Linked DNA regions of Caenorhabditis elegans. The protein of the gene in region 4 purifies or fractionates together with the protein of the main gene of each other region. This does not show direct contact. Each region holds a gene or a part of one and is shown on either strand. Other genes may lie near its edges. The genes, in order: rpa-1, rfc-1, F53B2.8 and rfc-2.

Region 1 (5,065 bases), on a different chromosome or scaffold from region 4:
GGAACGCATTTGTGTGTGCTCTCCCAGACACTCCATAAGGTCAGCTGCATAACCCTAAATTGCATCGACAAATCTTAACAACTGCAACAGAAAAGCTACACTCAAAATATAAGACGGAAATTTTCTTTCAGCACGGCTTAGTTTGGACGAACAATTTGAAAGGAGTGTTCAAATTGCAACTGTTTGGAAACATAATAAAATCATTACGGAATTTATTTTTTTGGAAAATCAAAACAGGTGATAAAAGACGTTTCTGTAAATGAAAGTCACTAGTCTTTTCCACTAATCCGCCAATGTCTTTCATGGAAAATAAGACAAAAAAAAAGACAGCGTTAGAGAGAAATAGACGAAGAGAGCTCAAAGAGCTCGCTGGCTGCCCACGAACCTGCGGGTTAGCAATGGAAAATGTGGTCGTGGGCAGAGAGACGTAGGATAAATGTGGCAACCCAAGGCCATTTGTTGTCGGGCAGTCACCCGCTCTCAAGGACGCTGCAACGACCCAATGCTGTCACTTCAGAACACATCTCGAGGTCACCTGGCACTCAAAGATAGGCTCACATCGTATAGTTTATTCGCTAGTAAATGAGATGAAAAACATTGTACAAAATCAGCGATTGTGGATGTGAGACATGTGATAACTTTAGGCTCAAAAAAGGTTTTAATAATATTTAGGTTTTTTTAGATTTAAATGAAACAGTCGAGATCGGCACGATGTAATAAAAAACAGAACATTTAGTAGTCACTCATTTGTTGCATCTGCTCGATCATTTGCTTCAGATTTTCGATGTACTTGTCCTGATTGACATCATCCACACCATAGACAGTCATCTTCTGACGAACTTCTTCCTATAAAGAAAACAATCATAACGGATCTTCAAGAAATAAAGCTACATTGTACGAATCCATCTTGCAACGAAGTCTCCACATCTTTGGAACAAACTGAAGGCGTTCGAAAATAGCGTTGTACTCATCTGGGCTTTCATCGTGCAATTCTCCAAGCTCCGCAGCTGATTTTCCAACAATCTTCGCAGCACTATCTCCGAAAGCTGTGACATAGACCTGTCCGGTTTCGTCCGAAAGTTCAAACTGCATCATGTACAGCCACTTGAACTTGTTCATGTTCTTATTGCACTTTTCGCATCTGTAGTCACCATTTTCTCCCACAAGTTTCTTTTGGCAACCCTCTGAAGCGCATCCTCTATAAAGAGCATTCGTAGGATTTACTCTGGTAATCATTGCTTTGACAGTTGCGTAATCTCCCTTGTCGGAATCCTTTCCAAATTGCATTTCTTGGAGTCCTGCAATAGTACGTGGAGCTTCATTGGATCCTCCAGCAGCTTGGCTCATCATCTTAACTTCAGTGGTTGGTTTCACGTTTGCGTACCAATCATAGAGTTCAGACACTCCAGCGATTTCTGGCACCGAAATAATACGAGTTGCTGACCCAGTTCCCAAAGAGAATCCTCCATTAAACTCTCTTGGAATAACACCTTTGAATGCGATTACTTTTTGAACATAGTCATCAACAAGTGCTTTTGTTGCTTCGTCTCCCCAAAGTGTCAATCGAACAAGTGCTCCAGACTCGTCAATCAACTCCATTTCTCGCTTGATCAGAGATTTTCCAGCCTTTGAAGTGAATTCGGTAGCCTCTGGATCCATCTTTTCAACCACGACGAGAACGTCAATCAGTTGTCCAGCATATCCAGCGATTTCACCTAGCTTCACTCGTTTGAGTATGAGCTTTGGAGCAGCAAGCAATTCACCTCCAGCTTCAATCTGAAAATTTAATATTTTAGCTATGATGAATCGCTTTAAATTTACTAACGATAGAATCGCTGCGAAGTGTGATCTCGTAGTCGTGTCCAGTATTGTTGAACTTCTTATTTGCTTGTTTGACTGATCCACCAGACAAATAATAAGACTGAAAATATTAAATTAATTATTATGCATAATCCGATTAAAATAATACTAACAAGATTCTCGGTGATTGTGGTGTACAAGGACTCAGCAACCTCGTTGAATGCGGTACATCTGATTGTATCTCCGTTTGAATCGGTTATTTCAAAGTTGAACACTTTCGTGTTTTTCGCTGGGAAAGTACGAATTTCCTCCTTGCGTGATACCATTCCGTGAATTTTGAAATTCGATACGTACGGTGTAACCATTGCAATAGGCATCACGCCTCTTTCTGTGTTCGACGCGGTACGGCGTGCTGGTGGTGGAACAGCTCGAGCGCGTGTAGCCTCTGGAGCAGCGGCACGATTGTATGAGGCTTCTGAAAACTCGAATTACACACATTACAACTCTTAGATTTTACCTTCTCCGAATTCTCTTTTCGGCGCTTTTGCTGCTGGTGGATTTGCCATATTCTCCTGGTAATCAGCAGCCATTCCTTCAGCTTCAGGCCAAACATCTTCGATGATAATATTTGGTCTATAGCCTTTGTGCTCATCAGGTTTGCCAGAATGAGATCTTGGCTTGACTTCTGGAGAGGTCAAAACCTGATGATAGCGAGAAAGAATTTTGTATCCTTTGATCAGGAAGCAATTCTTAGCACCTTCTCTGAAAAATACATTGAAGGACTCAATAATGTTATAATCTCACCCTTGGTCGTAGATTTCAAATTTAGTAAGAGCGATAATTGTTCCCTCAACAAGATGCTCAACTTCACGTTTGATTTGGTCATCGATATCAGCGGACATGAGCGCATCTTCAAAGCATAAATAAATATCAGAGTATAACAAACTCACTTACTGTATTGGAAAACACCGTCTGAGATACGAATTCTGAAAGTGAATGCGTGACCAAGTTGCTCTCCTTGCTCTACTTTGCCTTTCTGAAAATTATCGAATTATTGCGAAACTTTTGAATTAGTCAAAAGTACCAAAACTTGAACGATTCCATCATGTCCAGGATATCCATTGTTTTCGATAGCCTCCTGAAAATTCATCAAAATTAAATTTCCTGGTTTTCTACATTGATTTCTTTACCTGAACATAGCCTGTTGTAAGTCGAAGTTTCCCGTTAGTATGATACTTATTGAAGACATCGTGATTGATGTGAATTGCCGCCATCTTTCACTATCTGAAACAGATACATAAAAATTGGGGAAAAAAGCTTGAAACATGAAGAAACAAATGAAGGGGAGACGATTCAATTTTGAATTCTCTACAGGCCGGATACGCGCCAAAAAAAATGGCGTAGAATGTGATGTTTGCGGGAAATGTGTGCCGAAAAGCGGGAATTTCTGTTAGTCAAAGAAAATCGAGCACAACTTGAATTAAAATATGAGAAAACAAATAAATATTAAAAAAAGGAATTGAGAAGTTTTAAAGATTACAATAATAATTGTTGAAATTTTGATGAAGGTTTTACATCGGCCAAAATCGCATGAATCGAAATTATGGCAGCGCAATATTGGAAGAGGGTTAAAATACTGAACAAAAACATTCTAAAAGTCAATACTTCGTCCAAACATGAAGATTTTCTGCAGGTTCTCAACAAAGCAATTCACATTTGAAAAAGAAAAAAATGAATGGCTCGGACCACCTGCGTAAATCTTGCCGGGTACGGTATTCGCTTCGAGACCTCCATCAAAACCGTAGTTTGGAAATTGTTTTTTCCCGCCGATCTAACTTTTCTATTGACGCGCTAAATTTTGAAATCAGAAAAGTCGCATAAAGAATTCGGATTTTGTTTTATTTTCATTTGTCAGTTTTGATAAATTTTCATTTTATAAATTATGTAAAGTTTCGGCTATATCAGTTACCCACTTCATTTCTACCTAGCTGTTCTTTTCCTTATATGACCTTCTTGAAAGCTTATAAAAGTTTTCGAAAGCTTTTAGACCACTTTCAAACTGCTTAATATCTAACCCCCATTTCGGAAAAAAAACTTCTACATAATTCCAGATGCGCCATCTCCATCTCGCCTTCTTCCTTCCCGCCATCTTTCTGTTCTTCTCGTGTGTAAATGGTGCCATCGAATCGGTACACGACGACAAAGATGTCGTGCCACACGAAGAACAAGGTAAAAAACTAGATTATTGTGTGCTTAAGATTAAAGTTTCACTTCAGCCCTCGACGTCGACACAATTTTCCGCGCTCTTGGAGTTCCATATTGCATGCGAAAGTGCATCGACCCGTTCATCAATTCTACGACGTCTCTGTGGAACATGAAGAATGTTGTACATCAAGCTCGCAAAGTCTGTGGTCATCATGCACAGGCTATCACTTGTCTGAAGAAAGAACAGTACTGTGATCACAACAAGCTCTTCGCAAAAGCCAGCAGCAGTGTTGAATATATGTGTGCCACAAAGCACGTTCTGTTTGAGCGAATGGAGTCGTGTCTCAACCCTGTCGTTGATGATATCATGTCAGGTAATTTTTTTTCTGAAAAATTGCCCACCATCAAAAAATCGTTTTCAGGCTGCGACAAAGAATGCTATGCTCGTTCAAACCTAACTGCTTTCGCTCAAGATTCTAACATTAAATTCGCTGCTACAGTTGGAGGTAATGTATTTATTGTTGCTGATCATCTTGGAGAACTTTGTAACTCTCTGCAATGTACTCTCCCATGTGTCACCAAGCGACTCAACAGCAAGTGTGCCTTGAGTGGATGGCTTAGTCTGGACATGCTTATGCAACCATTCGATGCCGTTTCTGTAATGGTTGATCAATTGTCACCAGCATTGAGGTTAGTTAGTGCGATCATTATTAAATATGCTATGTAACTAAACATTTCAGGGATGTCATCAGTAAGAAAATCGATAAAAGATGCCGTTTTGCAATTAACCCAACTCGTCTCAACCGCATTCGCAACGGCGATTTCAAGGCTTTTAACATGGATAACATTTGATCGCATCTCATTTCATGATTCCAGTACTCACTAAAACCCACGAATTGTAAATAATCACCCGACACAAATATGTTGATATATCGAATAAATAGTTGTAAACTGTAAACCGCTTTCAATAATCATTTTCTCAAACGCGGATGAAAGCCGAAAAAAATTCTCGTGACATTTTGTACAACTATCGAAGCTGAAATGGCCGAAATATCTGAAT
Region 2 (6,312 bases), on a different chromosome or scaffold from region 4:
TGATAATTGTTTGGATACAGAAATAGGTGTAGATCGCTGCGGGACCAATCCAACCGGAACTTTCATAAGTTAGCCATGTGTAATATCCAATTATGAATGGAGCTGTAGCAATTGGAGCTAGAAGATCATTGGAAAGGATTCGAGTGGCTTTTTCAATATCTTGGGTTAGACGTTGATCTCTGGAAAAATATCGAATTTAAATAATTTAAATTGAGAGAAAAGTTTTTCCTTTCAAAATTAAATTATCACGATAAATTTTTGATCGTTAAATCTTGTGTTGACATGTTGGTACGCGCATTTTAAGGCATCAAATTTTATTAATTGTTATAATGTGCCTATATCAACAAATTAACGCGAAATAAACAGCAATAAAATATGATATTTTTATTCTAAGCTGTATTTTAGCTGTTGCGACAATGACAAGTTGAACAAATTTCAAATTCTAGCTTAACTTGGTTTTTTCCAAATTAAGCGAAAAATCTAAAAACTCATAGTCAGCTTTTCAATTAAAAGAAAAATTGTAAAATATTATTTGATTTTATAAAATTAATTTATATAAAAAACTTACGGATTATCAAGCATATCCCCAGAAGAAGATAGCTTGAAGAAAGCTTGTCTCTTGAAATATAACCTATGCATCGTGAGATTACATACTTGACGACTTTTGATCGCTAACATATTTGTAAGATATTTGAATACTGCTAATGTCTGAAATTAAACGCTAATTAGGATGAGAAAATATCGAATTTCGATCTTACAAAAGCTTTTCCAAGAATAATCGCGGCTCCCCGTGCACACAGAATTTTAAACGTGTCAGCATCCTTGTTTCCCAGTGCCACGTAGAACAGACTTGGCTGGATTCCAACTAAATACGTCATTACTTGATCGAGAGCAGTTGCGATGAGCAGTGCTCCGGCGAGCCACGCGGTTATCGATCGACGATGACATGGAAACAGGATTTTAAGAAGACGCCAGAACCTCCGAAAGAAGAGGAAGTCGAGGGCCAATCTGGCCATTTTGACCGGATTTTGGGCCGAGGCGTTTTTGCGACCTGAAATTTTGTGATTAGGAAGGCTTTTTTCAGAAGATGCCCCAGAAATAGACATTAAGAAGAGGAGGAGTGGAGTTGAATTCAAGAAAAATAGTGAATTTCAGTGGAGATTTTAGACAAACTTGAAGCTTTTTTTATGACTGGACAATTCTACTGAGATCAACCGGAGCAAAAAACAAAGCATTTTTCTGGAATTTAAAATGTTTCAAGGAGAATATTTAAGACAACCAAACACCATTCAAATCCGAAACAAAAAAGAAAAGAAACGTAGGCCGGCCATACCATCCCATTCAAACCAAATGAGGTCGATAAAGGCGTTGAAAAGAGCACAAAGAAATGAGCACAGAGACGTGGACAATGAAGAACAGAAATGGATAATGATTATCACCTTTTTCTGTTCGTACTTCTTCCAGTTGAATTTCTTGATCCGACTCCATGCGGGATGTGCAATCTGGAAAGAGCTGGCTGTGAGTGAACATGCAAAAACATAATTTATATTTACAATAACAATAGAGATAACGACGATCAAAACAAAACTAAAAAACAAAAGCTATTCAAGGTGCTGCTGAGTTTTTGTGCATTGATAACAATTCAGTTTTACAGAAAAAAAAACAGAAAATGAAGCTTTCGGCATAAATTATTACAATTTTATGTTCCAAACATAAATAAACAGACTATAATGATTCGAATATTTTGAGAAAAAGCTTCAGTTTTCGACGGTTTTGCAGGAATAAGTTCGGTCAGCTGTACACGCAAATACATTTGCGTCCGCACACAGTGTAACGAGGAGAGTGGGGGACAGGAGAAAGTGAGGCAAGCGGAAAGAGAGATTGCAAACGCAGACGATGAAGAAAAAAATGATGGGCGGGGAAGCATTGGGCACTTTTTGGGGGAAAGATGAGGACCCTTTGATATTCAGAATTTTATATTCAGATTTATAACGTGATTCGTGCGAGGAGAATTATCAGTTTTATATAGGATCTTTGAGTTGAAATAAGACGAGAATTTAATTTTTTATCAACAAAAAATCGGGAAGATATGTAACGAATTTCTTGAACGGAAAATAGCAAGGAATCTTAAAAATTTATGAAAAATAAATTGCAATTTTCATACTGTAGAAATTAAAGGGACATTACGAATAAGCCGAATAAGGCCTCGGCACGATTTCAAAAATGCAAATACGCTCTGTTGGAATTTGCTTTTCCCGCTCAGTTTTTTAAATTTTAAAACTTTTTTTTTCATTCTTTTTCATTTTGGCTCCTCAAGATTGTTCCTGCTTTTCGATCGTTTTTTCGAAACCGAAAATTACGAAAATACACCCAGATTTTGGCGATTTTTGTAAGCCTTTCTATAGTTTTTAATCCCCAACAAAAATTATATTTTTTAAGCCGACGGAGAGAATCCAATCCCTCGACATTTACGGAAGATCGCCTCAAAAAAGGAAATGAGTACAAAAAGAAAGATTGTGGTTTCTTCGGGTAAAAAACAAATTGCATTCTGTGCAAATGTGTATTACGAAATTTCTTTTTTTAAGATTCCGATGATGATATGCCATTCACCCAGGAAAAGCAAAAGAAGGCAGCGACACCGGCGAAAAAAAGGGTTCGGAAATTCATGTGAACTGAACCCTCATTGAGAAATGTTTCAGACAAAGCCAGTAGTACTAACCGATGACGACGAAGAAGAAGAAAATGCACCTCAAAAAAAGACTGCACCAAAAAGATCGAGAAAGCAAGAAAAAGAAGAGAGCGATGTGAGAAAGCACTCTAATATCCATGAAATATCGCAATAATTAGCTTTTAGATAACCTCTGACGAAGACGAGCTCGTGCGCGGAACTGATGAAAAAAAGAAAAGAAAGGGTGGAAAAAAGGAGTTACCAGTTGGTCAAAAAACGCTGGATTATATGTTCAAACCTTCTTCGTCATCTTCGAAACGTGATGATCCTAAGAAAAAAGTCGAAAAAACATTAGTGAATCCCGCAGACTTCTTCAAAAACTCACCAGCGCCATCTGCATCAAAACTTCCAAAAGTTGCTCCGAAAACTGTTGAAAAACCAAAAACGCCAGCTAAGAAGCCAGTGGAGATCAGCCCGTCGACCAAAGAAAACACTAAAACAAAGAAAGTGTCGGACGATGAGTTCGTAGATTCTGATGATAGTTTTGACACGTTCACTCCTATTACTGTGAAAAAGAAGACACCTGAAAAGAGAAAGGAGACCCCGAAAAAGAAAGAGCTTCCTTCTGTCAAAAAAGAATTCCCAAAGAAGCAATCAATTCCTGTCAAAAAAGAAAAAGAAACTCCACAGAAAAAGGCGTTATCAGTGAAAAAAGATCCACCGAAAGTAACCTCCGAGTCATCTTCGTCGAGTCAAGTTTCCACGTCATCAGTCGTTTTTCAACCGAAACCAAGTGGGCCACCCCCAGCACTTTCATGGGTTGATAAGTATAAGCCGAAAAGGATGGGAGAACTTGTTGGCCAGAATGGAGACAAAAGCCCAATTAATAAGCTTTTGGAATGGATTAAAGACTGGGCAAAACACAATCTTGGCGAAGGGGCAAAAATTAAGAAGCGTAAGTAATTTTATTTCTATTTTATTATAATATTATCGGCAATTTTCAGCAAAACCAGCTCCATGGATGTCATCTCAAGATGGTACATCATTCAAAGCAGCTCTTTTATCGGGTTCTCCTGGAGTTGGAAAGACTACATGCGCCTATATGGCTTGTCAACAACTGGGCCTTCAACTTGTCGAAATGAATGCATCAGATGTGCGTAGTAAGAAACATCTCGAAGCGAAAATTGGCGAACTCTCTGGTTCTCATCAAATTGAGCAGTTTTTCGGAGCGAAAAAGTGTGCTCCACAAGATAATCAAAAGGTTCATCATATCCTGATTATGGATGAAGTCGACGGAATGTCTGGAAATGAGGATCGAGCTGGTGTGAGTTTAAATGAAGAACTAATATATTAATATTCAAATGTTTATTTTTACAGATCTCTGAGCTCATCCAAATTATCAAGGAGTCTAAAATTCCAATTATTTGCATTTGTAATGACCGGCAGCATCCGAAAATTCGTACACTGGCCAACTATTGCTATGATCTTCGTTTTCCAAAGCCACGTGTCGAGACTATTCGTTCTCGGATGATGACCATCTGTTCTCAGGAAAAAATGAAAATTGGCAAAGAAGAATTGGACGAAATTATCGAGTTATCCGGTCATGACGTCCGGCAAACAATTTACAACCTGCAAATGAGGTCAAAGGGAGTTGGAGCAAAGATCAACCAGAAGGATATGGCTGTGGTAGGTCTCCTAGCCGTGAAATTTTGCGATTTTCGCGCCAAAAATGGGGTACTTGGTCTCGATACGAAACTTGCGCCTGGTTATACAAATTCTGAAATCTTAACAACATTTTCAGGATGCATTCTCGGCGGCTCGTCGTCTCCTGGATTCTCGTACGACATTAATGGAAAAGCAGGAAATGTTCTTCACTGACTATGGAATCATGCCACTTTTCGTCCAGGATAATTATCTCAATATGAAAAATGAAAAGCATAGTCCAATCCAAGCGATCCGTGGAATACGAAAAGCTGCAGACTTCATTTCCCTTGGAGACCTTATTGATCGGCAAATTCGTGGTGGAGGATCCTGGAAGTTGCTCAATGAGCAGAGCATGATTTCTGCTGCACTTCCAGCGATTGCCACTGGTGGACATTTGAAGGCAATGATTCAGTTCCCATCGTGGTTGGGAAAAAACTCGACAGCTGGAAAACGGAAGAGATTGCTTCAGCAACTGGTTCAACACACACATCTCAAGTAAGTTACGCTAAATTCATTATGGGAATTAGGAATTTATTTATTACTTTCAGAGTTTCTGCTGGTACTCACTCATTTGCCACTGATTATGCTCCAATGCTCCGTCAGAAAATAACGAAACCACTTCTTGAACATGAAGCTGATGGAATTCCAGATGTGATCAGCACAATGACAGAATACGATCTCATCAAAGACGACACTGAAGCACTCACAGAAATTGTTGCTTGGCCTGGAAAAATTGATCCGGCTAGTAAAATTTTGAGTAAGGTGAAAGCATCATTGACTAGAACTCTAAACAAGACTGGTCGAATGCTTCCATACTCGATGGATTCTGTGTCAAAAGGAAAGAAACGAGGTGTGAATTCAATTGGAATTGAAATGGACGAAGAAGGAAATCTAGTGGAGAAATTTGAAGATGAAGATGGAGAATCCGATAATGAGGATAACGAGGAGAAAACTACTGATGTTGTTATTAAAGTTAGGACTGGTGGAGGTGCCGGAGCTTCAAAATCTGCTCGAGGTGGACGTGGTGGTGGTCGGGCTCGTGGAGGAAGAGGAAGCAAGAAATGATTATAGATGTCCAGTATTATTCTAACTATTACCGTAAACTTGCAATAAACCCTCTTGAATGATCACTATTTCGACAAAGCAGATATTCTTGCAGGAAAACTATTAAAAACTGGATAAAAAATCATGTTACAACGATTTATTTGAGCACGATGAAACAATTTAATTTTAGTCATTTTGCACCAGGAGGACAACGTATTATGGTTTTGCCAAAAATGTTGAAAATTTCGTTCAAGATCATTGAGATATTCACAACTGTTTTCTATATTTGTCAAGTTAGTTCGCATTGAAAGAGAAATCAACTCTGACTAAATTGAAGACAATAGAATCGTTGTGAAAACTGGATGAACCACGAAATTTCGCGATATAGTGGTCTTTCATAAAAAGGAATGAAATCGTAGGGAATTGGACCAGCAATTGTGAAAGCATCGGGAGGGATTGTAACATAGAAAATGTGGTAATGGAGTGCACGTGGTGTCAAAGTGTCCCATATTGGTTTGATCTACGTAGAAAACGTCGTAGATCTACATAAATGCGGGAGAAGAGACGCAGAGTTCTCAACTAATTTTGCATGGTTAAAAACGTGCCGACGTCACATTTTTTGGGCAAAAGATTCCCGCATTTTTTTGTAGATCAAACCGTGATGTGACAACCTGATACCACGTGGGAGTGGACTAGAAAAACTAAGCAAGAAATATGGATAAATGGAGAAAAGAAGAATAGAACTGGAGGAGGAAGCAGGAACTATTTTGAGCAGGAAAGATGTTGCACTGCGATTTTGTGGCCTGAAAAGTTAGAATTATGAAATCCTTGTTTTGTGGAAGTTTCAATTGGAAACAAATGTAAAGGAATTATCGTAATTTCGCAATTATCTGAAA
Region 3 (3,929 bases), about 11 Mb from region 4:
TCAGACTGATCTGTTGGTTGATAATCCCAAGTTTAGAGTTGTTATGGTACGTTTTTGACATCAAAATTGAAAATTAAAAATATTTTTTCAGAATATTGCAATGTCATCTCCGGAGCATCACAGTGAAGCCGCATGGATCATATCAAACGTTGTTGCCGGTGCTCCAAGACACGTGGATTACAGTTAGTTTTATATTTATTTGATTACTGAATAGGATCTATGTTTTCAGTAATGGATGATCCAGATGCTTTCTATGAATGGGTGATGGCTGGGATTCATACTGGAGACAAACGCTTGAGAAAGGTAAGCTGATATAAAATTATATGAACAGTATTTTATTTATTAGACATGCACCACCATTGTTTTACATTGACAGGGCATATATCTCGATTCACTTCCGTTTTATCAAAAAATTGTCAACTGAAGAAATACGTGCAAAATGTTTTTCTACGTTTTGATAGTGAAATTGTTTGATAACACTTGAGACAGTCAAGATATGAGCCGTCAAAGTGAATTAATGAGGGTGCAAGTACAATAGAGACAATACTGTAGTTAGCTTTGAACACATCTTTTGAAACAAAATTTATTTTCGAGCTTAGAAATTATCTATGGTTATTTCAGGAATGTCTGTGGATTATTGGAAATCTATTGGCAACTGCAGATGAGCATCAAACGTATCTTCTCGTCTCCTTAGGAATAGTACAGCATTTTCCAGCTCTTCTCGATTTTGATGATGTTCGTTTGAATGAAAAGGCGGCGACAACTGCAACTGAACTGCTCCGTGAGCATCCATGGCAGTACACATTGTTCCAACGTTTGGATATTTTGGGATGTATTGAGAGAGCTGGAGCAAACGTTAGTTGAATATCCTTAGACTTAACAATCCGTGTGTTTCAGTTTTCGATTCAAAAAGCCGAACTGAAATCTTTGATGAATGACTTGGCGCCACCTGAACGGAAAGATGAAGATATTGCCAAAGGATGTTCTGTGATTTGCTACAGCAAGCTCTCAGACGACTTTCACAGCATGAGCATTTGAATTTACTCGTTTGAAAATAAAAATACGAATTTTGATTGTGTAGGTTTAAAATATCAACCCATCAATCAGCAGAAAATGTTGTCTAATTACGTTTCTGTGATATTTAAAATTACTTGAACATTTCCAATACACCTGTTTTTATTTGTTCACTCGAATTCCAATCAGATTACTGACAGATTACTGGCTCTTCAACTGCGATTTTTCTACCGGTTTGTGTACTCTTTTTGGACAATTAGATGTTATGTGCACTTCCTGAACAGGTGCATAAACAATTGATGAGATGATGATGAATAGATGGATTAGGAATGGGGGAAAGAGGATTTTAAATGTTTTTGGAACATAGGGGGTAATTACCGGTAATTGATTTTTTCCAAATTTCTTCACTCCTAAAATATTTCAAGTTTTCAGGCAACAAAATGTGAGAAAAAGGATTTTTTTAAAGTTAAATATGATCAGTAAAGTGTCGGCTTCCATGATTTTTACAAATACACAATTATTATAACATCTCTTTTAGGTTTTTAGGTAGATTTGCATTAACTTTGCCAAAACTATTCGACTCTTCCAACTACAAAAATGTTTTCCAGTTTGAATTCAAATACCCGTCGTCCTTTTCTATTTGCCAATTTCCGGCGGCAATGTGATGGGATAGTGATATGACAATCTGTTACTCATTCCTTTTGGCGGTTTTTGTAAGGAACAAAAGCACTTTTTCTAGATTTGAATTTGAGTTGGGGAGATGTTGAACGACGACGATGAGCTGTTAGATGTTTTAAATCTTGAATTGTATAGTAATTCATAAGATTAAAAATCAGAAAACTTAAAAACTTAAATTTGAATATAAATATACCATAACTTTATGTCATCGATAAAAATTGGTCACACAGTAAAAACCGAGGGTTGCTGTACCTGGCAGTAGTCTGAAAAAATCAAATGTTAATGAAAATTTCGAATATTAAAAAATTTAAAACATTGCCTAAGTTAAAATTTTCGAAATGCTGAAATGCTTTGGGTGTAATATTTGTTAAGCATATTTCTAGTGAATTTTGTAGTTAAAAATTTCAACACTTTGATTTCGCAATCCCGTCACCCATCTTTTCCCTCTGGGTCTCACGATTTCCCCATACTTTCCAATAATCTTTCCTGTCAACATTCCCATTTCACATGACATTTTCAATTTTAATACTACCTTACTCATAGTCAACATCACTATTTCAGAATTCCACACTTATAAACATTATTGATGATAAAAACTCTTTGATAAGAAATTGATACAAAAACCCTCCTCAGTGCCTGCAATTTCAGTGGTTACTTGTACTGCTAAAATCAATTGCTTTGAACTGAAAATGCCAATGGGCAAGAAGTTGTGTAAGTTTTTAAAGTCGAGAAAAATTTGAAAATGCTCAAATTTACAGTGGGAAAGCTTAAGAGAAATAAGGTGGAGGAGCCACAGGTGGAGCCGGAGGAGGATTTGGGAGATGCTATGAGTACGCAAGGTTAGTAAGGAATTACATTTGACTTTTAGTGTTGAGCGTCGATTGTAGTGTTCGGAAAATTTTAGTTCACTGAACGGTATAGCAAATACGCAAATTTGACGCGAAAACTTTATAAACAACAGATTTGACGAGCAAATTATCGTAATAAATCTATGTGATAAGTCTAGTTTACGTTTGGCAGATTATATTACATACTCGAATGAGATTCGCAAATTTCAGAAAAAGATGACGTGAAAGTTGGGAAGAAAAGAGCCCCGAAGAATAACATGGGTGGAAAGAAACGACTGAGATCCAAGCTGGGAAATGTTGGGAAACACCAGAAAAGGGTACGCTCCAAGGAAAACACTCCGGAAAGAAAGCTGGAAAAATTGGAGAAACTCGAACTTCAACTGACCTTAAAACGAAGTCGAGAGGAGCAGAAACGAGCCAAAAAAGATAAGAAACTGGAGAGAAAAGCACTGAAGATTCAAAAAAAGTTGGAAGCTTTGAGAAGCATCAAGGAAAAACCACATCAAGGCTCTGAAGCACAAGGGCCAAAAGTCCCCAGAGCCAGAAAGATCCGGGTACCAGCCCCAAGACCACCCCGTCTTCCATATTTGGCTCTAGTCGCCAATCTTCATAAGGCTCCGAAAGCATTGCGTGATATGAGAGCTGCTGCTTCACGCCGTTAGTGTGGGCTTTGGATCATTTGGAAGAAAAAAAAATTGTTAAGTGGAAAATTAATAAGAAGAATATGAATCTGGATGTCAAATTTAATTTGTGGACGTTTTGAATTTTTCACTTTGAAGTTTTTATTTGTTAATAAAAAATGTTTGATTCAAAATTTACAAATTTCAAATCAGCATACCAAAATCTTCGAAATGTAATCATGATTCATGAGAGGTCTCGCCATGAAAACTAATGGTTATGGTAGATTTTTTCAATCTTATTCGAAATTTCAATTTGAAACTTGATCTTCAAAGTGAGACCACATTTCCCACTAACGTTTTTTATCTGCTCACTATCAGATCAAATTTAAGATTCAGAAAACTTGCTAGCTACAGTAACCGACACGTTTTGTAGTGAGACCCGATCTGCTTCGTAAAAATTCACATCTGCCTTGTAAGGAGACCTACACCTGATTCCTGCCTACAAAACGTGCCTATAGACTTGCAAAATTATTTCCGATCCTTTAATTGTTTGCAAAAATTCAGATGCCTAGGCAGTAGGCAAGCTTGTAGGCAGGCAAGAATACAGTAGGAGGAAACGTGCTTGCCTACTGGAATTTGGGAAATTTCTTCATAATCCGGTAAATTAAATTTTAAGGAGAATTCAGACTGTTCCCACAGCAATTTAAATCCACTTCCCTTTCCAAATTTCTGTGTCTCACTCCACTTTTGTTATAATTTTACGAATTTT
Region 4 (8,070 bases):
AATTTAAGCGGAGCTTAATTTCCAGTAATTTTTACAAAAATAAAAAATTTTTGAAAAAATTTAGTCTGAAAATCAATGCCTTTCAAATTTGATTTTCGAGCGATTTCAAAATTTTCAGAAGAAAAATTGAAAATTTGGGCATAGCTTCCGCATCTCCGGTGACAAATGTGCTCTATTGCACCGAATTGTTGGTTGGAATACGGTATTTATTGCATATTTCAGCCGAGAATACCACTATTCAAACCATCAATTCGGATAGAGAAACACACAAGTCACATACTATATAGGGAAATTCAGTTCAGTTGCCGAGGTGGCGAGCCAAAATTTATAGCATTCCTCGGCAAAAACTGGAATTCCGGAAAAAACCGGAAAAGGCTAAAAAATCTTCGAATTTTTAGCAGGGATTTGAGCAAAATTTGAAAAATCCAAGAAAATTAATTTTTTGCATCAAAAAATTGAAAAATTCAAAAAGTGTGCAATTGCCGAGTTGCCGTACCCAAATTTTTAGCATTTCTCGGCAACTGGGATGAAATTGCTAAAGTTCCGAGGAAAATCCATCTATAAATATGTTTAAAGTGCAATAAAAATAATTAATAAAACGCGCAATTTCGCTGCGAGACCCAAAACTACATATTCTGTACAAGAATCGGGTTCATTTGAAATTTTGAAAAAAAAAATTGAGAAGATATGAGGATCGACGTGAAAAATAATTGAAAATCTCGGCAACAATTTTAGGCACTCGTAGCCGTTGCCGCTGCTGAAACTCGGCACAGATCGGCAATCAGACGGGAGAGTTGAAGTTTCGAAGTGAGTCCCTGCACGATACGCATATGGCACATGGCGATTTGCTGAAAAATTGTTTCGTTGTTTTTTTTTAATGGTTTTGGGCTAAAAAATTAAAATTTGGGCATAGCTTCCGCATCTCCAGTGACAAATGTGCTCTATTGCACAAATTGTTGGTTGGAATACGGTATTTATTGCATATTTCAGCCGAGAATACCACTATTCAAACCATCAATTCGGATAGAGAAACACACAAGTCACAGACAATATACCGGGAAATTCAATTCAGTTGCCAATTTGCCGGAAATTTCAATTTCGGCAATTTACCGATTATCCGGAAATTTTTATTTCCGGTAACTTGCCGATCGGCCGGATATTTTCAATACCGGCAACTTGCCGATTTGCCGGAAATTTTGATTTTTGGCAATTTTCCGTTTTGCTGGAAATTTCAATTCCGGCAATTTGCCGATTTGCCGGAAATTTTTGAATTCCGCTATTTTCCCATTTTGCCTCAAAATTCAATTCCGGCAATGTGGCGGAAATTTTATTTTTTATTTTTGGCAGTTTGCCAATTGGACGAAAATTTTCAATTCCACCATTTTGCCGTTTTGCCGGAAATTTCAATTCCGACAAATTGCCGATTTGCCGGAAACTTTCGATTCCGGCAAATTGCCGAGTTGCCGCAAATTTTCATTTCCGGCAATTTTACGGTTGGCCGGAAATTTCAATTGGAAATTCAGTTCAGTTGCCGAGTTGCCGGACTCAATTTCCGGTAACCAAAAACTAAAATTCGGCAATTTCCGGCAACTAGTCTTCGAAATTCACGATTTTCGCCAATTTTAGGCTACCAATCCCTAAAATCCGGTGGTTTTCGGCAATTTTCAGCCACAAAGGCCGAAATTTAGATATTCCGATGATCTAACAACGAAATTTCGCGTTTTTCGGCAAAACAAAGCTCCAAAAAACGCGGATTTTTGACAATTTTCAGAACACCCCGGGCGGCTTTTAGCCGCTCATTTTGGCTCATTTTCCACCCATTTTCTCACCCGAATATACTCCATTCTCAGCTGTTCGGACACATTTTTCGACAGCTCGACAGTCTTTACCACACGGAACAACGTTGATACAATATCGTCTGAGGAGAAGCCAAGCCGATGAAACTCGTGAATAATCTTGGATGCCTCGAAGAATTTGCGATCCGTACAGTAATGGAGCATTTTGATCATAAGGTCCGGGTGTGGCTCATCACAGACTTTCAGCACATTTTCCTTGTTCACAAGCTCGTAAGCGTTCACTGTTGCCTGGAAAATCGGAACATTTTACTTTTTTAGCCGGAAAATTGCATATTTTACATAGTTTTTAATTGAAAATAAGACATTCTAAATTTTCTACAAGTTTTCAGCCCAAAAATGGAAAATTTGTTTTGAAACGCAATTTTTGTTTAAATTTTCAGCAGATTTTTACTAAAAAAAAATTGGGCATAGCTTCCGCATCTCCAGTGACAAATGTGCTCTATTGCACAAATTGTTGGTTGGAATACGGTATTTATTGCATATTTCAGCCGAGAATACCACTATTCAAACCATCAATTCGGATAGAGAAACACACAAGTCACAGACAATATATAGGGAAATTTAGTTCAGTTACCGAGGTGCCGAGCCAAAATTTATAGCATTCCTCGGCAAAAACTAGAAAAGGCTAAAAAATCTTCGAATTTTTAGCAGGGATTTGAGCAAAATTTGAAAAATCCAAGAAAATTAATTTTTTGCATCAAAAATTGAAAAATTCAAAAAGTGTGCAATTGCCGAGTTGCCGTACCCAAATTTTTAGCATTTCTCGGCAACTGGGATGAAATTGCTAAAGTTCCGAGGAAAATCCATCTATAAATATGTTTAAAGTGCAATAAAAATAATTAATAAAACGCGCAATTTCGCTGCGAGACCCAAAACTACATATTCTGTACAAGAATCGGGTTCATTTGAAAAAAAAATTTGAAAAAAAAACATTGAGAAGATATGAGGATCGACGTGAAAAATAATTGAAAATCTCGGCAAAGCTCGTAAGCGTTCACTGTTGCCTGGAAAATCGGAACATTTTACTTTTTTTTAGCCGGAAAATTGCATATTTTACATAGTTTTTACTTGAAAATAAGACTTTTTCTAAATTTTCTACAAGTTTTCAGCCCAAAAATGGAAAATTTGTTTTGAAACGCAATTTTTGTTTAAATTTTCAGATTTTTACTAAAAAAAATTGAAAAATTGGGCATAGCTTCCGCATCTCCAGTGACAAATGTGCTCTATTGCACCGAATTGTTGGTTGGAATACGGTATTTATTGCATATTTCAGCCGAGAATACCACTATTCAAACCATCAATTCGGATAGAGAAACACACAAGTCACATTTTCATGAAATTTCCACTTAATTATACTGGAAATCGGCATTTTTGCAATTTTTGTGGGGAAAAAATTGTTAAAATACCCCTTTTTTAGATGTCCTTTATCGAAAAAAAAAATTAACTGAAAAATGTAAAAAATTTCAATATTTTGATGAAATTTCATGATTTTCACTGAAAAAATGAGAAAATTTTAATGAAAATTTCAATTTTAGGAAAAATTCTAAGTTTTTTTGTTGCAAAATGTAAAAAACTGGTGAAATCAACAAAAAAAAATGTTTAAATAAAAAAATGGTACGAAATCCAATTTTCATGAAACTTTTTGAGATTTTCAAGGAAAAAAGAACATTCAGCGAAATTTTATATTTTTAGACCAATTTTTCAAAATTTTGAAAATAAAATTATGGAGTTCGGAAGGATGGCCAAGTTTTCCTGGAAATCTTTTTTGGAAATCTTTTTTGGAAATTTTTTTAAAGTTTTTTTTTTTTTTGGAATTATCTGGAATTTTTTGGGATTGTTGTGAAATTTTTAGGATTTTTTTTTGAAATTTTTAAAAAGTTTCCTAAAATTTTTTGAATTTTTTTTTTTGGATTTTATTTTGGAATTTTTGAGATTAATAACATTTTTAGATTTTCACTGAAGAAAATTTGGAAAAGGTCAATTTTTAGTGAAAAAAAATCCTTTAAAAATATGATTTTTTTCACCTTTTTTACGGAAAACGCCAAATTCCAACTAAATTAGCTAAAATTTCCGGTTTTTCACTACTTTTAAGCACATACATTGTAAAAATTCTGGTCTAGAAAATTGTGAATTTTCGCAATTTTTTCCAGCGTTTTCAGCTCAAAATTCAGCCTTTTCCCGGATTTTCTACCTGTAAATTGTTCAACGCCTGTCGCATATCACCCTGTGCAGTGAACAGAATCGCTTCAAGACCCCCGTCGTCATAGTTGACCTTCTCGGCTTTTGCAACCTCCTTGACACGTGTCAACAGCTGTACGGGGCTCAATTTTGTGTAGCGGAGCAGGGCACAACGGGATTGAATGGGCTCTGAAAGGGGCAAAAATCGATCGATTTTTTGGGGAGTTTCCAGGCCGAGATCTGTATTAGTGTGGACGGCAAGTGCCGTTCGGAAATTTTTTGTCAGCAAATTCGGCAAATCGGAAAATCGCCGGTTTGCCAATTTGCCAGAAATTTCAATTCCGGCAATTTGCCAATTTGCCAGAAATTTCAATTCCGGCAATTTGCCAATTTGCCAGAAATTTTAATTCCGGCAATATGTCGATTTGCCAGAAATTTCAATTCCGGCAATTTGCCAATTTGCCAGAAATTACAATTCCGGCAATTTGTCAATTTGCCAGAAATTTCGATTCCGGCAATTTGCCAATTTGCCAGAAATTTCAATTCCGGCAATTTGCCGATTTGCTAGGAATTTGAATTCCGGCAATTTGTCGATTTGCTAGAAATTTTCAAAACCAGCAATATGCCAATTTGCCGGAAATTTCAATTCCGGCAATTCGCCAGAAATTTCAATTCCGGCAATATGCCGATTTGCCGGTAAAATCGTTTGCCGTCCCTAATATGTACCAATAATCTTCTCGGATTGATTGCAGGCCAACGCAAATCTTGTCGTCTTTGTGTACATCTCCATTGTGCGGCGGAGAGCCTGAAAATTTGGTTTTTTTTTTTTGGAAATTCAATGCAAAATTCGTATTGAGCTCGTTGAGAGCTTTCATTTAAGTATAATCATGACTGGGTTCCGAAAATTTCGAAAAAATTGGAAATTTTTTAATCATCGTGGCGGGGGACTAATTTTTCGAGTTTAGGAGGTTTTTTCGGATGAAAATTGCATTTTTTGGGGGGATTTTCATTGGAAAAAATCGAATTCCTCGCAGAAAAACTGGTAGATTGACATCCAAACTGGCTCAATTTCAAAAAAAAAAACACGAAAATTTTGATTAATTATCGTGTAAATTTTCCTGAAAAAATAAGTGAAATTGTGTGTGCAAAGTTACCATTTTTCTCGGTTTTTTTTGTGGAAAAAACGGGCAATTTTCTGATATTTGACATTTTCTCTTTAAAAAAATCGCAAATTGTCTCGGAAAACGCTAGAAATTCCGGATTTTTGACCATTTAATTTATGGCATTTTTCATTTAAAAAAAATTCGAAATTTGTACCAATTTCATTGCAAAAAGCTCAAAAATTGCGGAACTTTGATATTTTCGTCAGAAAATTCCGATTTTATCTAGATTTTGTCAAAAAAAAACTGAAAAATCTACTAAAAACACTCACTTTTCGGCTTTTTTTACTTAAAAAAATCCCGCCTACGTTTAAGTCTAAGCCTGAGCCTAAGCCTAGGCCTAGGCCTAAACCTAATCCAAAGTCAAGGCCTGAGCCTAAGCTAAAGCCTGAGCCTAAGCCTAAAAGCCTAAGCCTAAAACTTTCAGATTTATTTCCAAAATTATCGCAGCCTAGTCATGTTCATACTTAAATCAAAGCTCTCGTTGAGCTGAATTCAAATTTCCAAGTTTTTCGGCAAAATTCCGCACCTGCTGTGCACCATCGGTCATCGAATCGGCCTCGTCCAGTATGATAATCTTGTGACGGCCTTCTGGAAGTGTCACCTTCGTCTGGGCGAACGTTTTGATACGATGACGGACCACATCGATTCCTCTGGAAATATTGGCAGTTTTTTGAGATTTTTTTTTTGAGAAAAATTCAATTTTTTCAAAGTTTTTAGCGAAAAAGTCAATTTTTTTGCAATTTTTCCCAGTTATTCAGGGTTTTTTCTCACAAACCTCTCGTCCGACGCATTCAACTCGAGCACCGCTTCCTTAACCTTATCGCCGAGCAATTCTCGAGCCAACGCCCACACTGATGTCGTTTTTCCGCAGCCTGGGGGACCCTGAACGGAAAAATTCGATTTTTCACTTCACATTTTGACTTTTAAAATGAATTTTTCAACAATCTTCTCACCGACAAAACAATATTCGGCACATTTCCCTCGTGTCCGATCACTTTGAGCCGCTCGACAATGTTCTCGTTGCCGACAATATCGGCGAGCACTTTTGGACGATATTTCTCCACCCATGGCGCTAATTGTTGCTTTTCCGACTTTGACATAGCTGGAAATATTGAAAATTTGATAAGAATTCGATACAAAACTCGAAAAACGTGACGAAAATTCATGGAATGACAAAGAAAATCAGTTTGGCGCGCTTAAAATTCAAAAAACAAATATTATCCGAGAGGAGTACACCGAGCGGGGACAAGGTTTCCTCCTCGGCCGCGGCCACTTTTGCCAAAAAAAACAACAGATATTCATGAAATTGAGCCAGAATCGCTATTTTTGAACGAAATTTCGAATTTTTTTCACAGAAATAGTAAAATTGATAAAATGGGAAGTCGGAAATTACAAAAAATTGTAAATACGAGCTGTTTTTTCAGCGATTTCTAGCAAGAATTAAATGGAATCAGAAGAATTCTGGGCAGAAGAGCATTTTTGCAGATAGAAATATGTTAAATATAATACTATCAGTGTATCTGACCGGTTTAAATAAAGAAAATATGTACGACTGTGGCGGCTTCGGGCTGATTCTCACTTCTCGTGGCAAGTGGATGCACTTCATGGACTTTTAACAGCTACAACTTTTTTCGCGTTGGAGATAGAGCATATGGGCTCGAGCTCGAGCATTTGGGCTCGAGATTGAGCATTTAGGCTCAAGCTCGAGCATCTGGGCTCGAGCTCTTACTTACTTTACTTTGATACTTTGATGTCCGTTGGGTTCAAGTTGCGAAGAGGATAAACTCATTCCATTTTTTTTCACGGTCAGTACGTGCGATGGACAGCCATGGAACCTTCGGAGTGAGCATTCCAAGTCTTCTTCTTCCGACGACGACTTGTCCTGAGTCAGGACTCCTGACATCGAAAAAAGTTTTTTTGAAATAAATAAATAAATAAATAAATAATTAATAATTAATAATTAATAATTAATCATTACCTATATATAAAAAAATAGTGTCCGTTTGTTAACAAGTGACGTCATAGCTTACAAAGGCAAGGTGTTTTCGGCTGTTGGAGGGATATTAGTTTGTGGTTAGTAGAGGAATATGGGCGGGGTACTGTATTAGTACTGTAGGAGTACTGTATTAGTACTGTAGGATCACTGTAGTTTATGAAAAATTGTGTTTTTGTCTTTTGAAGAGATATAGGTTTGGGGTTAGAGGTGGGATATGGTCGGGGTACTGTAGTAGTACTGTAGAGGTACTGTAGGAGTACTGTAGGATTACTGTAGTTTATGAAAAATTGTGTTTTTGTCTTTTGAAGAGATATAGGTTTGCGGTTAGTAGTGGAATATGGTCGGGGTACTGTAATAGTACTGTAGGAGTACTGTAGGAGTACGGTAGGATTACGGTAGTTTATGAAAAATTGACTTTCCGTCTTTGGAAGGGAAATTGGAAACTTCTGGAAAATTCTGAAATGTTCCAGAACCTTCTGGGAATTTCTGGAAAATTCTAGAATGTTCCAGAACCTTCTGGAAAATTCTGAAAAGCTTTAGAACCTTCTGGAAAATTCTAGAAAATTCTGGAATGTTCCAGAACCTTCTGGAAAATTCGAAAAAATTCTGGATTGTTCTAGAACCTTCTGGAAAATTAAAAAAATGTTGCTGCGAGATCTTCGTGGCGAGAGCCATCGTGGCGAGACCCATCGTGGCGAGACCCACCGTGGTGAGACCCATCGTGGAAAGACCCATCGTGGTGAGACCCATCGTGGCGAGACCCACCGTGGTGAGACCCATCGTGGAAAGACCCATCGTGGTGAGACCCATCGTGGCGAGACCCATCGTGGCGAGACCCATCGTGGTGAGACCCATCGTGGTGAGACCATCGTGGTGA

What was found.
Region 1: the proteins of rfc-2 (region 4) and rpa-1 fractionate together in Caenorhabditis elegans (co-fractionation; one large-scale study listed by BioGRID). This does not show direct contact.
Region 2: the proteins of rfc-2 (region 4) and rfc-1 fractionate together in Caenorhabditis elegans (co-fractionation; one large-scale study listed by BioGRID). This does not show direct contact.
Region 3: the proteins of rfc-2 (region 4) and F53B2.8 fractionate together in Caenorhabditis elegans (co-fractionation; one large-scale study listed by BioGRID). This does not show direct contact.

Annotation. Positions count from the first base shown.
Region 1 is NC_003280.10:7,662,601-7,667,665, reverse strand, and holds rpa-1 (putative replication factor A 73 kDa subunit), read right to left. Parts: upstream 3,085-5,065; 5' UTR 3,075-3,084; coding exon 2,991-3,074; intron 2,939-2,990; coding exon 2,885-2,938; intron 2,837-2,884; coding exon 2,755-2,836; intron 2,711-2,754; coding exon 2,605-2,710; intron 2,563-2,604; coding exon 2,318-2,562; intron 2,276-2,317; coding exon 1,974-2,275; intron 1,922-1,973; coding exon 1,826-1,921; intron 1,777-1,825; coding exon 892-1,776; intron 847-891; coding exon 733-846; 3' UTR 556-732; downstream 1-555. Other genes in the region: F18A1.7 (Chondroitin proteoglycan 4 domain-containing protein), read left to right, coding at 3,912-4,029, 4,077-4,379, 4,428-4,695, 4,746-4,857. UniProt on the Caenorhabditis elegans protein: As part of the heterotrimeric replication protein A complex (RPA/RP-A), binds and stabilizes single-stranded DNA intermediates, that form during DNA replication or upon DNA stress.
Region 2 is NC_003283.11:14,641,929-14,648,240, reverse strand, and holds rfc-1 (Replication factor C subunit 1), read left to right. Parts: upstream 1-2,261; 5' UTR 2,262-2,389; intron 2,390-2,439; 5' UTR 2,440-2,495; coding exon 2,496-2,529; intron 2,530-2,585; coding exon 2,586-2,653; intron 2,654-2,699; coding exon 2,700-2,804; intron 2,805-2,847; exon of another isoform or gene 2,848-2,854; coding exon 2,855-3,623; intron 3,624-3,672; coding exon 3,673-3,992; intron 3,993-4,045; coding exon 4,046-4,354; intron 4,355-4,469; coding exon 4,470-4,867; intron 4,868-4,920; coding exon 4,921-5,437; 3' UTR 5,438-5,574; downstream 5,575-6,312. Other genes in the region: pmp-3 (ATP-binding cassette sub-family D member 4), read right to left, coding at 1-179, 569-708, 759-1,051, 1,440-1,488.
Region 3 is NC_003282.8:12,525,672-12,529,600, reverse strand, and holds F53B2.8 (Coiled-coil domain-containing protein 86), read left to right. Parts: upstream 1-2,204; 5' UTR 2,205-2,381; coding exon 2,382-2,403; intron 2,404-2,450; coding exon 2,451-2,531; intron 2,532-2,750; coding exon 2,751-3,202; 3' UTR 3,203-3,370; downstream 3,371-3,929. Other genes in the region: F53B2.5 (Importin subunit alpha), read left to right, coding at 1-46, 92-182, 230-303, 622-855, 898-1,038.
Region 4 is NC_003282.8:1,345,545-1,353,614, reverse strand, and holds rfc-2 (Replication factor C subunit 2), read right to left. Parts: upstream 6,302-8,070; 5' UTR 6,298-6,301; coding exon 6,151-6,297; intron 6,080-6,150; coding exon 5,973-6,079; intron 5,848-5,972; coding exon 5,724-5,847; intron 4,840-5,723; coding exon 4,761-4,839; intron 4,224-4,760; coding exon 4,048-4,223; intron 2,085-4,047; coding exon 1,830-2,084; intron 849-1,829; coding exon 732-848; 3' UTR 638-731; downstream 1-637.